Drosophila melanogaster: one gene and its partner. Changing the gene in region 1 together with any one later gene gives a genetic interaction. Each region holds a gene or a part of one and is shown on either strand. Other genes may lie near its edges. The genes, in order: Zip71B and ZnT41F.

Region 1 (11,195 bases):
TGTAGCAAACACAGCACAAATTTGAGAAAAAAATGGAACAAGAGCTCTGGTCGCCCAGAATGCTTAAGTCAGTACTAATGGGCTAAAGAGGTTAAGGCCAGAGATAAGCTATATATATCAAGCACCAAAAAAATCAGTTCAAGATTACGATTTGAGTATTTTAAAATAAGTTTAAGCAACATGTGGTACTTAAAGTGCTACAAATAAACAGCACACAGTTTTTGTACTGTAGAAAGAAACAGGAAAATTCAGCTTATTTCCAATTAAAATCGGTCCAGATCCAAGACCCAGAAGCGGAAAATCTCTATGACCTTTGGTTCGAACTGACAATCTTTTGAGATTAACTACTCCAACCAATTACCATGGAGACACATTTAAGGCATGGAATTAGCTCGGTCCCATTAAAAATGCCTCTTCAAGTGGCACACACAAAAATTAAAATCAGTTCCAGCTCCCCAGCAAAATGATGAATTAGAATTGATAGTGGGACCGACGAAACATTCAATTATCAACTAATTAGCACTTGAGCCTCTTCAGAAAAGTACAGGATGCTTCAAAACTTGGAATAAGTATATTCATATTATCGGAAATACAGCGAGTGTTCTTTGTTTCCTGGGGTAAATTCAAATGTTCAACCCTCTCTATTGAAATTCACATACATATATAACCGAAGGTATAAATTTACCTTTTCAAGATCTGAAAACAAATAGAAACTTGAATGGAACTCTCTTAATATCTTTGATCCACAACAAAACTTAAGAGAATCAAAGAAAAAAGTCTTATCGCTTTTTCTCTCCTTTTACGTCATCTTTGCTTATGGCTTTGTAATCATTATTAAAACACGTTTTTTTTTAACAATCAGCCAGGCAGACACTCATTACCATACATTTTCGGCAGACACAAATTAGCATAATTTTTAAAGTTTGCTTTTCGAAATATCAATGGAAGTTCAATCTGATCTGATCAGAATGTTTGAACATATTTTTGAAAATCAAATATTTATGCTACCTTTTTCTAACTTTTCATGTCAAACTATTTAAGTACTAAATAAAGTTCCATAAATCTTAATGAAGTGAATGGACAGAGCAAATAAAATAAAATTATCACCAATTACTAGGATGGTCGTAAAAAATGGAATAGTTAGTACACGCTTTTTAAGCGTTTCCAAAATTTCTCCAATTGCTGGAACAACCCTCCTTAGATAGGCAAATGCATACCTCAAAGCATTTTCAGAACTGTGTCATGCTTATCAGATTGTCAACGTTTGCTCTCTATTAGCCTAATCACTTTTTAAACATTATTCTCTTGGGATGTTCCCCGTGAACTACGCCGTAATGAGCAAATTTTCTTCTATAACTAATATTTTAACTTTTCCAGGCACGATGATACCCAAATCAGGCGGAGATTATGCCTATATAGGCACTGCATTTGGTCCTCTGCCTGCGTTCCTTTATCTGTGGGTGGCCCTGCTGATCCTGGTGCCCACGGGCAATGCGATTACGGCTCTGACTTTTGCCATATATCTGCTGAAACCTTTTTGGCCTTCCTGCGACGCGCCCATTGAAGCTGTTCAGCTGCTGGCGGCTGCCATGATATGTAAGATTCGCTGATAGCTAATCGGTGGTGAGACTAGGCATAGACTATATTGACTAATTGCTTGATCTTCCACCCTAGGTGTGCTGACGCTTATCAATTGCTATAATGTTAAGTGGGTTACGCGTGTGACGGACATCTTTACGGGCACCAAGGTGGTTGCCCTCCTGGTGATCGTTGGCGCCGGAGTCTGGTGGTTGTTCGATGGAAACACAGAGCACTGGGATAATCCCTTCTCGGGAGGCCTTCAAGATCCTGGATATATAGCCCTGGCCTTCTATAGCGGCCTCTTCTCGTACTCCGGCTGGAACTATTTGAACTTTGTAACAGAGGAGCTCAAGGATCCGTACCGAAACCTGCCCAAGGCCATTTGCATCTCAATGCCGGTGGTCACGGTCATCTATATGATCACGAATATTGCATACTTTTCGGTTCTCTCGCCAGACGAGATCCTTTCGTCAGATGCAGTGGCAGTCACGTTTGGCGACAAGATGCTGGGGTATATGTCCTGGATTATGCCCTTCGCTGTGGCCTGCTCCACTTTTGGTTCGCTGAATGGAGCGATCTTCGCGTCCTCGCGACTTTTCTTCGTCGGTGCAAGGAATGGTCACCTGCCGGCCGCCATTTCGCTGATTAACGTTAATTGCCTGACACCTGTGCCCTCGCTGATATTCCTGGTAAGTTAGAGGCTTAACCTAAGTAAAGAATCTATAAATATTTGTTTTTATCAAATTATCATGTTCTTTTCTTTTTTTAATTTCCCAGGGCGTGCTCACCTTGCTGCTGCTGTTCATCGAGGACGTCTACGTACTAATCAACTACGTCAGCTACGTGGAGGCGTTGTTCACGCTGATCTCGGTATCCGGACTGCTGTGGATGCGCTACAAGCAACCCAAGACGGAGCGACCCATCAAGGTCAACTTGGCGCTGCCCATCATCTATCTGATCGTCTGCCTGTTCCTGGTCATCTTCTCTTGCACGCAGACGCCATATGTGGTAGGAATCGGGACGATCATTATACTGTCTGGAATTCCGGTCTACTACCTGACCATCCACAAACCGGTCAAATGGCTGGCGGACACTTCGCAGGCGATCAACCTGTGGTGCTCCAAATTCTTCATCTGTATGCCCAACCAGGAGAAGTTCGACTAGGACTGCAGGACTCTACGACTTTGGGAAGAGAGGGCCTTTTGTGGATGTATCGATCAACGCAACTATAGAAGGGAATATCTTGTAGTTAGGATAAGTCTCAATTTACCCCTAAGATAGGTTAGCAACGCGAAATTTTGAAAACCTACGCACAACATTACAAAAGTGTTATTGTAAATAACTCAAATGCATTCTGGTAGGGAAGTCCCTGCTTCAATTAATATTATTTGTTAGTCGTACTTTTAATGTATATTTCAAACCCAAAAAAAATGAGTTCCTCGTCGAAAGCAGAAGTACGCCTGTTATACAAAATGCGAACCAATTTTTACATATTATACAAGTAATTAGGAGCTTATTCAGTAAGTAATAATTATTATTGATGCAACTTTTTGCGAAATGTAAAAAATCGAATTTGTTTTGTATAAGAAAGTTAATAATAAACACATTAAACTTTAATCTTATTACTTTTTGTGAAGTGGGCGGAAATTGGCATTTTAAAGGTAAAAAAGTAACTTATATCATTTCGCATGGTATCTATTTAAAGTATCATAATTATCTACCACAATATTTATTAATTTTTTTAAATATTTTCATTTTCTAGTTATTTTTCCTACTCCAGCGAGTTCTAAAACTCACTACTTGATGAAAGCGCCTTTACAACGCCTTTAGGTATGCAATCTTTTTCTTCATAGTTACAATCTACCGGATAGTTTTTAGTATAAAGTATTGTTGCTTAATAATAACATTTAGCCAGATTCTTAAGATTATGAAAGGAAAGTGTAAAACTTTAGTATTTTCAATTTAAAGGCTGAGTACACTATTTAATGTGAGTTTAGCCGATGAACAGGTTAATCGACTTTATTAATTTTTGGCGCTCAAATTTGATGGTCCGGCGAAAGCTTTTCCAAAGCTCAATCCAAATGACAGTTAAGTTTGTAGCGAGTGCGCAGAGCGATGAGTTGCCCGCCCAGTGGGCGAAGGAGAGAGGGAGAAAGGAGAACGCGCCGACGCTCGTCGAACCGAAAGTCGTATAAAACGTTGCGTGGGCGAAACTGTCATTTCAAAAGACCGTTGAACGGGATCGGTAGTTGGCTGCAGTGTTACGGATCGCACGCGTCTGTAAAAACTCGAAAAAATCCCGGTGAAGCCCCCAGTGAAATGACGAGTGACCAGTAGATAACCGGGTTCAATAAAACGAATAGAATAAAACGAAAAGAGAAATACTATCTACCACCACCTGAGTGTTCAGTCCATTACGATGGCCCAAAAGCAGGTGCTAGTCTTAAACCTATTTTGCCTGGGCTCACTATTTTTCAAAACAGTGCCAGCTTCCACGGAATACAACAAATACGTGGCGCAGATATTTCAAAAATACGGCAACGGCGGGACAATCAACTTTGAGGTAATAACCAATAAACCATCGAACTAGCCTTGTAAACACACACAAGAGCGTAATTTGAGCACAGGTAAACACAGGTAAACAAAGTCGGACACGGGACAAAGCTTTTGCGGTTAGCGTTATGGCAAAAAATTAGTGAGTTTGTGTCTTCTTTTTTTTCTCTCGTTTTTGTCATTTTTGGGCCAGCAACAAAAACAATGTGTGGGAGGGGGGGGGGTGTTCTCATATGATTACGAGTTAATCAAATATTTGGGCATTGTGAAAGTGAAACAATTGTGTTCTGGCCAACTCGGCTTGATCGGGCAACCAAAACACTCTCAACAGCGATTATCGCGTCACTTTTAAAAGGTTGTAATCTTTATATGCGCGCAGCAATTTTATAACACAGTGGGCAGACAGCAGGCACTTCGTATGATACAAAACGTAGACTTTATTGCTGGCATTATCATAAATTTAATCAAAATCCAGACTAACGAGCAGCACAGGCACAGTGAGATGTACAGTACGAGACTTGAGCATCAACACGACGAACAACACCCACCCCCCGCCCAAGACATCCTTCTATATCCACGTCGGAGATTACGAGATGATAAGCCCGATAAGACTGCTTGCTCCTCCTCCTAATGGGCGCACACTGGATGCCCGATAAACCAAAGATACAAAAGCAACCGCAACTTTCGCAACGCGATCGTTATGCTTATGGACTCCAAAGCTATAGTCCGTCCGATTCCGAACAATCGGAGCCAATTGACATTACTCATGCGTATGGGCTACGCAATACGGTGTGTCCATTTGAATGGCAAGCCGCTACTAAAAATGTTTTTACTTTTTACGCACTCGGCATACTAACATTAAGGGTTGGATGCCCGATGCCCCATGTCTCATGTCCCATGCCCACCCAACCGTCTCGTATTCTATCATCATTCTAATATTCCAAATTTGATTACATATAGCACACTTGGCACACAAACAAATCTCAGCTGAATGAAAGTAAAATTCGCCATTTGGTGGCTTCATGAGCTACATAATAAATAGTTTTTTTTTTTTGTGTGTGCCAGCGCGTGTGTGTCTAATGTTTGTTCATATGCAAATTCCGCCATCCTGATCTTGGGAATCTGGGCAATTCTTTGGAGCCACTCATCACACGCCGGACACACGCCCCGATCCCCGGCGACAGGTCGCTGTCGAGGCAATTAGATGGGGCTCCACCGCCGCCCCGGGGAATCTCCACCCACTTTAGCGACAGCAAATATGCGACAGAATGGAGGAATAACAATAAACAAATGAATTCAGATGTAAATATAATTGCCTGGCACGTTGACAAGTAAATCAAGTAATTATCGGTGATAGATCGCAGCCAGAGTATATACTTTGACAAATTAGTTAAATAAATAGCAAATGCGATCGATTTGTCGGCGTGAAATTTCGTGGATAGCTACTGTGAAAAATGTGCAGCAGGTTAAGGTTTGTTTTTAAAAACGATTTCAGGACGCTCACCGAAAACAAAACAGCTGGCAGTTGTTTTGTTGCGTTTACTCCAGCTACTTCGAGATTAATTGTTGTTTTTAAATGGGTTTTAAAACTTCAAGGTTGCACTTACTGTTTAAATAGTTTAGGGAAATCACAACTATCTAAAACTATTGAATTATCAAACTTTCTGAGAATTTGTGCATAGATATTTGTAAGTCTATTTATCATTGCCAATGTTATTTTAATACCTATTATCAAATACTTAATTATCGTTAAAAGAAAATAGTTTGTCTACAATTATTGAAGCATAATGCTATCTGTCCTTATCATTAGATAGTTTACTTATATTTTGCGCCTTGCAATAACGTGTGCCTTAATCACACTTGTTTTACTTTGGTTTTGTATCTTGGAAAACTTCCAGATAACGTCTAAGTGCTCTCTAAATATGCTGTAATGCTGCTTTAAATGCCTATTAAATGAGGAACTAAAATATTTTCCAGGGTCTTGAGCATTTGATGTTCAGCCTGAACTTGGGTCAAATCCAATTCGATCCCTCGCACACGATCGATCAGCATCGACCTCAGGGATACTCGAACGAGATGCCGCATGCCACAAATGTAACGTATTACTTTGAGCCGACACGAGTCAATGCCACCGATGAGGAAGCTTTGGAGCTGCAAATCTCTCCTCGTGGCAATCACTCAAATTCACAGTCGGAGGCCGAGGTTCCGGAGTTCCTAGAAATTCATGACCCCAAGCACCGACATCCGAGGGAGAGTTCTGGTGAGTGGCGTCGTTTAATATTTAATGAAGATGTGCACCAGTCTTATCTTAATGGTCGGGGATTTCGCACTTTATTTCCAACCGTATTACTGTATGTATTTGCCGACCATCAGCTATGACTGATAATACCTAAGCTACGCCAGGATAGACAACATGGTCATAAATCTTAGGATAATTTGTTTTAACACTTATTCCGGTTCTCCAGAATCCACCAGGTCTGAGAAATTCCAAAAAATACGCGGATTGAAGCTCACTTGACTGGCAGTTAATAACAAGCATATATACATGATAAAACACCAGCCACCTGTGGCACAATACAAAATTGAGCCCGGCAGAAGTATAGTATATATATATAGTATAAATAGATGAAGCCCTCGACTTGACTCGACTCTTTCCATCAATTGGCCGATTTCCAAGTGCAAGGCGACCGGCGACTGCGGTCTATCATCAATTCAATTATGCCATCCCATCCTCCATCCCATCTCATTTGGTTGATAGGAAGTTCCGTCTGTGATCGTGGCCTTGTCGCATAAATTATCATTACCATGTATGTGCGTATATATACTTAGTATCAGATGCGTTTTTCTTTCTCCTTTTGGGCCGTAAATGTAGCCGTAAATCAACAGGTAGGAAAGATCATTGTCAGCAGGCGACGAAAACAGGGCGATAGCACGATAAACGGACGCATTATGGATGCGGAAATCCAAAAGAAAACAACAATTGAACGGATTCAGATACAGATACAGATACAAAACGAGAAACAAACAGGCCTCAATCGCTTCGCTTGTTATTTATTTTTGTTGGCTAAGCCTTACAGTTTTAATTGAAGTGCACACAATCATTACAACGTTGTCCCATATAAAGTTAACACTAAACAGCCGACTGGATTAATGGCAAGTTTGCACATGCGAATTGGATAACAATCGACTGCTGAGAGAGGGCAACGTGTCGGAGTCGAAGAAATACGTTTGCTATTTCCATAGAATGAGTGTAAACATGGGAAAAAGAAAATTCCCCATACCTAGCATTATAAACAAAGTGCTTAAAAGGTTTAAATTAGAACAAACAGTTGCTGCTCATAATGTGAACCCAGCCAGCGCTATATAGTAATGCATAACGTATAGATTAAATTGCAAACTGCAGAAATCACAAGTAATTCACATGCAACAAGAATTACTCAATGCAGTCCCAAGGTGCTTATTCCTTAGACTTTTACCTTAAACAGGAAATATTTTCTCTGGTTCTTAAAATTACATTACTTTTACACTTTTTATTTTCAGAACCTGTTGCCGCTTGCTTATCACCGAAGTCTTTACTTTCCCTCATCGTGAACCACAACGATCTCCACAAAAACATTGCCTACCGCAAGCTGCTCATTAAGAATGACGTTAGCTCAACTGATGGCGTCCACAATTCTGAAGAGGAATACAACGAATTCATCAACTCGGTGCGGATCACTCCGCGAGCTTTTATGAAACTCTGTCCAGCTCTATTAGCCCAGATCGATAATGGAGTTTGCAAGCAACCAGCTGTACGATCAGTAAACCTTAACGATAAGAACCAGAAGATATGGTACGGTAGGTATCTATAATTAACACTTTGTTATACAAGATAACTTACCTATATCGATTTAGCTTGGATCTATGCCAGCATCACTATGCTTATACTGTCCGCTTGCGGATTGCTGGGCATTCTTCTGGTTCCTTTGATGAAGTCGGCTGCCTATCAGGAAATTCTCAAGTTCCTAGTTTCCATCGCTGTGGGCACTTTAGCTGGCGATGCCCTGATGCACTTGCTCCCCCATGCCCTTTTCAAGGAGGAAAAGCACGAGGAGGAAGTCACTGGTATCAATCCCTTGGAATCTGATCACAAACATAGCAATGAGGCGGCTCTGCTATGTGGTTGTACTTTCCTGGCTGCTCTATTCATGTATATGCTGGAGAACCTGATTCCGCTGCTAAAGGGCGGTAAGCCGGGTCATGGACATAGCCACGGACATGGTCACAGCCACGGCCGCAGTCATGGACATATGGAGAAGCCAGCTGCAAAGGATGCTATTGATCTGCCACCTCCTCGAGAGCTCAATGTGATGTTGCAGGAGGCCAAGCTGGATGAGAAGACCCCCGATCGACCGCTCACCCCAGTAGCCTTCATGGTAATCATCGGAGATGGCTTGCACAATCTGACCGATGGTCTGGCCATAGGTGCAGCCTTCGCAAGTGATCCGGTCACTGGATTTGCTACCGCCTTTGCCGTTCTCTGCCATGAGTTGCCACACGAACTGGGCGACTTTGCTCTGTTGCTGCAAACAGGTGTCTCCATGCGAAGAGCCGTCTATATGAACATTGTTAGCTCAGTTCTTAGCTTTGTGGGCATGTCGGTGGGTCTCTTTATTGCTGGAATTGGAGACGGCATGACCCAATGGATTTATGCAGCCACCGCTGGTTCCTTCCTGTATATTGCTTTTGCCGATCTGGTGCCCACAATGAGTGTGGCCCACAATCCGGAAAAGGCCAAAGATCCAAAGGGTATAATAATACAAATTTTTGGTATCCTTCTGGGTGGACTGATAATGTTGGCTATTGCCCTCAATGAACACGATTTAGAGGGCCTGTTCAAGAGCTTTTAAAGAATAGCTCTGAGTCTCAAACAGCTTTGTTAATTTTGTTTTCTTATTGTAGATAGTAGTTTAAGAATATGTTTCTGTGGAATCTCTGATTCTCTTGCTTCTTTAAGCATGCCTTACTTGTTAGAGATGAAATCGTTACCAAATGTTAGTCTGTGGTCAGCTTTATGTATGATTTAAACAGCACCTTCCTTAGTGTTATTGAAACTTTAATATTAAAATATAAATGTTTTTAAAGAGACAATTAAAATAAAAGAACTGTGAGCAAAAAAGAGAAACCCTAGCATTGGCAATTAAAAGAATATAGAATCATTAAATCGTAAAATAAGACCAAAGTGTTCTTTTATATAAATTCTGCCTTACGAATGCTAAATCTATAAATAATAAGAGCTATCCAGAATTTCATTCCATAAGATAATTAGCTTGTAAGTTAAAATGGTAAAAGCAGAATTTTGTTTGCTCATATCCTTTTAAAGACGGATTTTCTTTGTTATAACAAATTAGGACGCTCTTTAATGATTTACTTTTTTAACACTTACAGTATAGTTTTAAATATTAAAGAACGTTTTAAGATAATTGCAGTTGTTGTTGTTCCTCAAATGGTTCATTGGGCAGTCGTGCGGGGCTCTAAAATGTGTTTTAAATTTGTGACACAGCTCTTTATCGAAAAACGTCGAGATATACTCACAGGTTTCTTAGAACGCTCCTCCAATACACCAAATGCAACATGATTCAGTTGGAAGCCAGACGGCAGTGCAACGCCCTGAATGCGATAGAAAGCACCAGAGGGACCCTCCTCCGCAACTTTGTGGGCAGCCGAGATGACGCATTTCCCCAAAAAGCTGGTAGACGCCACCATTGGACCGCGTGAGATGTCGATATGATCACCCAGGCGATACAAGGTGACCCTTCCATTGGTCTGCTGCGAGATGCTGGGCAACTGTTCGCTCTTATACTTGGAATCCTTGAACATCTCCTGGGCCAGATCCTGTTGGACGTCCAAACGCTCGATGCGCAGATCCTGAGCAGCCAGTTTAACCATCTCTGCCGAAAGGGCGCGCATCTCTTCTTTTCCTGGCTCCCAGTTCTGGGTTTGGAGCACAATGTCGTGTACGAAGCTACCTGATTTGACTGTGAAATGTAATAGGAGTAATTTTATAATTTGTCTCGCTTATAGAATATTCCAGACAGTATTAGTTTTAAGATATATATCTATGAAATTTTCATCCAATTAAAAGGGGGAAAGACGAAACCTAGTAAAAAAAATATCCTAATCTTAAATCCTAAAAAGTGATTCTGCTTACTATTGGGTCCAGGAAAGCTGTGGAGCTGAAGATTGGCCTCCGGCTTGAAAGCGCGGTTCAAGGCGGCTCCCAACATAAAGCTGCAAGTGCGCCAGAATGCTCTAAAAGTAAACAACATAAGCAAGTTTAATATAAATGCCATATTATAAATAGTATAGCACTCACTTGTTGACCACATGTGGCTCGGAAACATGGAAGTTAAGCAGCTGCAGAGTACAGGATTCCTGCAAGGGTCTGTGCATATCCCAGGGAACACTGCCGTCGATCAAGGCCAGTGCCGATCGCTTACAGTGCCCCTCACTCAGATGCTGGGCGCAATTGAAGGGCGTTGAGATGTTGCCGTTCATCACCAGAGTGACATCCTCGGGAAGTCCCAGATACCGCACCTCGATCTTATCGATTCGACCCACTGCATCCCGTTGACGGCGCTGCTCCTGGTTGAACAGGTCATTCCGCTTGGCTAACGATGCAGAACTGCCACTAAAGTTGGCTGTAGGGATAATTAATAAGTTAAAAGACATATTTTATAGTACAGTTTCAACAAATTGAATTTAAATTATGGTTGACTATCTAAAATAATAACTGGGATCTATAGAAATTCTAGCGATTTTTCCGCCAAGACATCAACGAACTGCCATCACTAGCCGAAGAGCTCCGCGGAACGTGAATGACTGCCGGCATTATGTAAACCACTTCCTCCATCTTTGGTCAATAAAAGGACTCCTAATTAGTGTTACTTACCCTTAGTTCTGTATTGTTGAAGCTGCCGCAGGGCGCACCAGCTTGTTTTATGTAATTTGGTGGCCGCAGACATGGTAAATTACCAAAATACTCTTCAGGGATGCAGTTCACAAAAGTGATGGTACTATGC
Region 2 (8,202 bases), on another chromosome or scaffold:
ACCTTCATTTATGGCTAACTTTGCAATGGTAAGCTGTTACCTGGTGAGATGGTTTTTTTATCTTTCTGTCATAAAAAGGAAACACTCTGCGAATCGACACAACGCTCTTACACGATAATTTAGAAATTTATTTAATTTAGAAAATTAAGTTACATTTGGCAAAACATTGAAGTATAACTTACCAATTCATGAGAACACTCCTCTGGAAAATAGATGTAATTTCCCCCTTATAAAACGCAAAAACAACCTCCCTAAAAAACTTGAATAAATGTTACTTAACTACATTCAGTTTTTATTTTTATACCCGTTACTCGTAGAGATTCTTTGAAAAGTATGTAACAGGCAGAAGGAAGCGTTTCCGACTGTATAAAGTAGATATATTCTTGATCAGGATGTCATGCCCGTCTGCCCGTATGAACTATGAGAAACTATAAAAGCTAGAAGGCTTACAGGTTCTAGAGACAAAGACGCATCGGTTGAGATTCAGCATCTGTAGGCAACGCAAGTTTGTTGACCCATGCTGCCACGCCCAATCTAACGCTTACAAACCGCACAAGACTGCCACTCCCACAAATTTAAAAACATCGATATCTTTTCACATTATTATTAGTCTTGTAATTTTCAATCGATTTGTAAAAAAATTCGAACGCTCCAAACCCGCCCAAAACTGCCACGCACACATTTTTGAAAAATTGCCAAAAAAAAACTTTCTACCACGCCCATTTTAACGTCCTATAGCCGTCACGCCCAGACTTTTGAAAAATTTTTACATTTGTTCTTATTTTATTCCGCAATATCTATTGATATTCCAGAAAAATTATGAAATTTCGCATTAGCACTCACCTAGCTGAGTAACGGGTATCTGATAGTCGGGGAACTTGAATATAGCATTATCTCTTGTTTTTTTATTATTTCAGTTTCTTTAATCAGTATTCATTAGTCGCGTTATTCTAAGTAGATTTTGTTCAAAATATTTTCACAAAAATAAATCAAAAAATTTTTTACTTTTGCTTATTTAGCTTCCAAGATTTATTCCGGTGTATAATTAGAAATTCTTTTTTCTTTATTGCTTTTGTGCATTATTTCCAATATATGTAAATGTTAATACAGACAAAATACACTCAATTTTAATCCTCGGCAAAAGATCGATCTTCCGGCGCAGATGAGCTGAAATAAGATCGTGGAATTTTCCACAAACACTACGAATATATACGAACACATACATACTTTCCACAATTTTCCGAACCAAAACGAATTTAAATAAACTTATCTTTGCAAAATTTATCCCGAAAATTCTAAAATTACATTCATCTTAGGGAAAATAATTAAATTAGGTTAAGTTAAATAATATAAAAAAATATTTAATCCTAACGGAAATTTAATTAAAAAAAATTAAAAATACAGAAGTAATGTAAAATAAGTTTCCACCTGGGGTACATATTTATATAAATTATTACAAATAATACAAATAGTTGCGGATATAATTATTCGGAAAATTTCACTGTAGATTCGCAGTTTGGTATCTTTCACGCAGGTATAGGATTAGGTATGACAGAATTTAGCAAGCATCTTTATATTTTTTAAATTTATTTTTAGATGTTTACTTCAACAGATGAATTCTCCTAGTGTATTCATATCTCCTTTATATCTCGTCCACGTGCGTAACTTTTTTTTATTAATATACATGTTATGTATCTTTCCAGCATGTGTTAAAGTTAAATAAAAATCGTAGGTTTTGTTTATGTCTGTTAATCGATGGAAAGAGGTGCTCCACGGGAGCTCAACGGGGTGCTCCCCGGGACAGCACGAAAGGGTGCTCCACGAGCCGGCTGATCACTGACTGATCACTTTTCACTTTTTTTGCGTGGCGTTGTTGTTGCTCCAAGCAAAAGATTTTCCAGATTAAGTTTCCGCCTGGGAAAAAACACACAAAAAAAATGTAGACCGCATACCGTTTTGCGGCGAGGAAAGCTCGCTAGATTATTATATCATTAACGCGCGCAGGCTATAATTTTCTAAAAAACAGTTGAATGAAAAAAATGTTCACGAATTGACTTTACGACGGTTCGATTAGAAAAGAAATAGAACGGAAACTCAAGCCTGGGTCTAGGCCATCAGAAGAAATCATGATCATCTGGAAATCACTCCATTTGTGATAACCAAGCTATCCAAAACTTTCCTAGTTCAGCTGATAAAGATTTGCATCTCGTCCAGTATATTTCCTATGACTAATACTGCATTTAATATGACCCTTGATTACACGCCCAAAGCTTGGCTCAAGCTTTCAGGGTGTTCTAACATAATAGCTTCAGGGGTCGCTACAAACTCCACCTATTAACTTTAATTAACCCTAATTAACAACTCTAATTCCTCTTCCAATTTGCACACCAATGTTTTCTCTAAGCATAGCTATTCTGTTTGAAATAACTTAGCTAAATGATCGTCGAAAGTGCATTTGCTTAATACATATACATACATTCATACACATACATTCTTTGTCAAATCAAAACACAACCAAAGAAAATTCGATTATTCATCCGTTCTTTATGACAAGCACCACTGCATACAACTGTTTTATAACAATCTCCTTTAATTGGTCCCGTTGTAATAAGAAATACCACATTCCGGGAAGCAGATTTTGCTTAAGTGCTTTTGCATCTTGATAAAAAGGATGGGGCGGGGATGAGAAAAAAGAAAGTAAGAAAACGAAATGGATTATCGGATTTCCTGCGATTTTTATTATAGGTAATATAATAATTTCATGAGCAGAAAGAAATCTTTAAAGGTATAATAATATATTTTACTTTAAGTTTAATCGTAAACTGAAAAGAACCTGACAACAAGACGATGGAAATTTCTCTCTTCAAAAATAAGTACGGATATAGTGATTAAAACACATTGAAAAAGTGATGAATTGAGCGGTGTTTAAGCGCCATTGATATCAACTAAATTGTAGAGTCGAATATGAATATGAATATATGATCCAGAAAATCCGTTTGAAAAATTTATATCTTACTTCCACTTTCTTGTTTTTAAGGATAAACGCCTTTCATATTACTATGTACATATTTTAATTTTAACAGTATTTGATAATACTGCTTTACTGTGGATGAACTTGATAAGGATCGAACCGCTGATAAGTCTAGTCTCAACTGTGTCGATTTATAGTTCCCCGATATCGAAACTCGTCATAAAGTGTAAATGTATTTTTTATAGCGCCAGAAACGTTATCTTGAACCTTATTTTTAAAGATTACCTTTTAGTCTTCGAGTTGTGTTTATAATCACGTTCGCGAGCACAAAAGTGTAGATAACGTCGACTTAATTTTCCGGTTACACTAAAGAAACCAATTGAAATGATCTGATATGTACCTTACATATACATAATCAGTGTCTAGCGTCTTCGGATCGGACGTTAAGGACGTTAAGAACTTCCTTTTTGCTTTTGGCTTTCAGATGCCTAATGATTTTTTTTTTTAAATTAAGAAATAGAATATAAACGAAAAGAGAATGCTATAGTCGAGTTCCCCGACTATCTCAGCTAGTGTGAATGCGAACCCGAAATTGCACGATTTATTTTTTTTATTGGGATATCGATAGATGTTGGGGAATAAAATGAGAAAAAACTTAAAATTTGACCGGTTCGGCAGCTTCAGGACGTTAGAGTGGGCGTATCAAAAATTTTTTTGGAAAATGGATACATGGGTCAACCTTCTATCATTTATAGTGCCAGAGATCTCGACGATCCTACTTATGGCACATTCTTTTCTGACTCCACTTAGCTGAGTGATGGGTATATGATATTTCTGATTGTAGAGGAACTAGACTCTTCTCTCTTATTTTGATAAGCGAACAACAGACGCAATTCCCAAGTCCTTTGAGAACCACTCAAGCGTCGCCACTCAAGAGAAAAATGCCCCCACTATCACTGTCTCGCTCTACCCAGAAACCAACTGAGAAGGCGACGCCGTCACCGCTGTTAGTTGAACTTCACGCGTCGCCGGGTGTGCCGGGAAGTAAGCAGTCGCTGACGATCGGAAATCTAAAACAATTACAGCGAGTAGGGCCGTGTACGATAAAAAGAGAACACCAGCTGATAGTGCACGACAGCGGAACATTATTGTAGTCTCTCAACTGAGTATTTCGTACATTCACATATTTTGTTTACATAGTCCATGCAATGCGCATATGGCTGGGAACTGGAAGATTTACAAAATACGATTGGATACGAACAAGTCATAATAATGATTTAAATTTTAATGTTCTGAAGAGTTTAAAATGAATATGTTTTTAATATCAGAATTTTACGCAATTAAGCCTAAATGAGACTAACGCCAATGGTTCAGTGTGATACGTGAGAGTGAATACAACGAATGGGCGCTCCGTTGTGATCTCTCTTTCCAACGGAACGTACATATGTACATTCATATGTATGTGCATAGTTATGTGCAGCATCAGCAGCTGAGTAGAAACATATGAGAGAAAGAGAGCCGCGGTCGAAATTATTACTCATTGCCAAAGTCAAACCTGCTGATAAGGTCAGTGCACGCTCAGCGCCGGCATTGTTTTCTTTACTTTGCTTTGACTTGCGGTTAAACTCTCTGGTTGGTGGAGGATCTAATTCTTATTGGTAGTTTTCTCGCAAAACGCTACGTCCCATAGCTACATATTTACAAATCAAATAGATTACAAACCACATCAATTTTAATACACGTATGCATGCTATTAGAAATTATATTATGTTATATATACATGTATATATGTATATAATATAATGGGTTAAATATGCCAAAAAAAAAGGTGCTCTAGAACACCTAGCCAAGAAAATGAAATACGAGCCCCAACTACTATTATTGTTTTGTATTGTGTTTCGAACAGCATGTGTTTTTTGCGGTGTGCAATGTTCAACACACGATATGTATACTCATTACTACTACAGATAACGTATGCAAAAGTATTTAGTCTGAAAGAGAATTTTATTCTCTTCATGTTGATAAAAAATGTTATATTTTCAACAACAACAACAGAGATAAGAAAAAAAGGCCACTATTAATTCGAACGCTGCAAAGTATAACAGACTAATTAACATAAGAATTGTGTAACGTCGCGTCCTGGGCTGTATTACACATTAAATACGTTTTGGCATTGATTTAAAAAAATTTTGGCCATGTTCTCGAGAAATCGATACCCACATCTCTTTGAGGTCACAAATGTTCCTCTGTGGTTCATTCGAAGCTTTCTTTTCATTAGCCACCAAATATTGTTTATGGGGCCTAGATCTGGACTATCTAGCCAATCTAAAACCTCCACTTGCTTATATTGTAGTCAATTTTCCTACTGAATCCTTTCCCGAGCCCATTGCAAACTCGTTTTTTTTTTTGCGAAGCGTAAGCAAGGGTTTTTCCGTGGCCTACAAGTAGAGTAAAAGGGTATACTAGATTCTTTGAAAAAGTATATATATTCTTGATATGGATCAATAGCCGAGTCGATCTGACCCTGCCCGTCTGTCCGTCCGTCCGTATGAACGTCGAGATCTTAGGAACTATAGAAGTTAAAGAGTTGAGATTAGGGATACAGTTTTCAGAGAGATAGTTTTTACTATCTACTAGTTACTATTATTATTATTACTATTATTACTATTATTACTACTATTTACTATAGTACTAGTTTTACAATACCAGTATTTCGACACTGTTTTAATTTGATATTCGAAACCATAATAACAGTCGCAAAATGTTTGGATTGTTAACAATTTTAGATTCTTTGCCTTAGCCGTTTGTTGGCTTTACATTTTTTGGGAAGACAAATGGTAGAATATACAAAATGAAAATACAAAATGTGATCGTGTCAGCTTAAGCGATAATGGTAAGGTTTTGAATCAAACTTACATACATAGCGATTTGATTACCCTGTAGCTTTTATAGTTCCCGATATCTCTCGATATTCATCTCTTGCCCTCCAACTAGACAGGAAAAGGGTATCTTATTGTCTATCAAAGATAATAACAAGCTCTTCTGGCGATTTGATTGGCAACAATATGCTTTCGGTCAAAACCTGCCGAGAAAACCCAACGCTGATAACCCAACGGCACACAAGCTAGTAGGACTACTTTTGCTGATAAGCATACATGAATCAAATGAAAAAGGTTTAAATTGCCAGTAGAGTTCCACCAACGTGCGATCCGTTGTTGATAAATGCATATCTACATTACTTAAGTTGTGGAGTGTAATAAATTTAATTGGTTAGTCCTTAAATTCTAACAAGAGAGAATGCTGTATTCGAGTTCCCCGACCATCCGATACCCTTTACTCAGCTAGTGGGATTGCGAATGCGAAATTATTCATAAATGAATAAAATAAAATGAGAATGAAATGAAAAAAATTAAAAATTGACAAGATAAACAATAAAACGAAGAAAAATCGACAAACTTGCGTCTGTATGCTTGATTTCAGCCGTCTAGCTTTTATAGTTTCTGAAATCAAGACGTTCATAGTATGACGTTCATACGGATAGACGGCCATGGCCAGATCCTATTCAAGAATATATATACTTTATGTGGTTGGAAACGCTTCCTTCTGCCTGTTCCATATTTTTCCACGTATCTAGTATACCCTTTTACATTACTAGTAACGGGTATAATAAACAACATTTTGTTTAGCTATCATTATACGTACATTGTATAGAATAATCAATTTACCTTATAAGAGTTCCTTAAGAGTTAACTTAAAATGAAAACGTTTCTAATCTGCAATAAACTACCACTGTATTATTTAAAATTTTTGTAAAATCCACGTTTAGGCAATCCACGTTTAAGCAGGGTTTAACATATGGGACCATATAATCTTCTATGTAATTTCTTGCACGCTTAGCTTGAAGTTTACATAAAGGGGCTTACATAAATAGGATGCTGGAAGTGATCATGAATTCCTCTCCCTGAAAATTATTTTTTAAATGCTGCCCTTGTTACACATTTCCCTAGACATAAGGAAAACAAGAGAGAATGCTATAGTCGAGTTCCCCGACTATCAGATACCCGTTATCATTTTTTTTATTTACGTTATCAATATTAAAATGTTTATAACTAATTTCCAAAAGAGATACCATTGTTGGCCTCGGGAGTTTTGACCGACTTGCTCTTAGTTGCCATAATGTTTTCGATTTCGTCTGGCTTTCATATTTCTACTTTACCTACAATAATCAATATTTATGAATTTTATTTAAAGATCTTCTTCGAGTTTCTTACCCTGAAGACAAATAGTAATTTTTCTTGGCTAAGCAATCAAAGAGCTACCATTAATTTGTATCCTTATTCAAAGGTATACGGTGTATCTTTTCTCTGTTACCTAACTAGTCCCATAGACTTCAATGTAAATGTAGTGATAATGGTTTGAAATGTACTTTTAATACAATGAACAACATTATTTGTTAATTAAACAGTAACTTACAATGTTATAACTAAGAAAACTTACTGACAAAGTAAACACACGATTTTCACACACGATTCCTATGAGGGCTTGAGGGATTAGCATTGCATCATGTGCTTGTCGATGTATATCCTCTTTGAAGGTCCAGCTCGTGACAGATCATATTAGCCCATAGATGGCTTCCAATTATTTTTAATCTATATTCTATAACCTTTCTAATATGTCCATATATACAATAAAGATCAAATTTTCTGCACCTAACTCTTACTGTCGGGGTAAGGGTCTTGGGACTAGGGAATCCTTTGAGGACAATAAGGCATTTGGTATTTTTGAGGGCACTACTTTAGTACTCCCATTAGCGAATATATCATAGCAGTAAATGCATACATGTTTGCCCTTTTAACGTCTACAAACCAACCAAAAGTGTCACGCACTTACTTTTGAAATATATGTTCGTCTGTATGAACATTGAGATCTTTGGAACTATAATAGCTAGAAGGTTGAGATTAAACATACAGATTCTAGAGACAAAGACGCAGTGCAAGTTTGTTGCCACGTCCACTCTAACGCGCTAAACCCACCCAAAACTTCCACGCCCACATTTTTGAAATATTGTAGGGTCATATATCAGATATCAGAACCATCATTTAAATAAGATTGTGAAATTTAATAAAATTTAACATATTTTCATAAAAAAAGGATGTCGAATGTAAGCTTTTCAACAGTCTGAACCAAAGAGAAGTGATCAGTTTCCTACACAACAACTGATTGATTTACTA

The links.
Region 2: of Zip71B (region 1) and ZnT41F, changing one enhances a phenotype caused by changing the other (phenotypic enhancement), as found in Drosophila melanogaster (one study listed by BioGRID).

The regions. Positions count from the first base shown.
Region 1 is NT_037436.4:14,988,472-14,999,666, forward strand, and holds Zip71B (Zinc/iron regulated transporter-related protein 71B), read left to right. Parts: upstream 1-3,817; 5' UTR 3,818-4,000; coding exon 4,001-4,144; intron 4,145-6,111; coding exon 6,112-6,394; intron 6,395-7,674; coding exon 7,675-7,971; intron 7,972-8,028; coding exon 8,029-9,023; 3' UTR 9,024-9,512; downstream 9,513-11,195. Other genes in the region: mnd (minidiscs), read left to right, coding at 1,378-1,596, 1,675-2,270, 2,359-2,745; mRpL39 (mitochondrial ribosomal protein L39), read right to left, coding at 9,588-9,647, 9,709-10,151, 10,325-10,425, 10,490-10,814, 11,066-11,138.
Region 2 is NT_033778.4:5,778,634-5,786,835, reverse strand, and holds the start of ZnT41F (zinc transporter 41F), read left to right. Parts: upstream 1-3,977; 5' UTR 3,978-4,059; exon of another isoform or gene 4,060-4,537; intron 4,538-8,122; 5' UTR 8,123-8,202.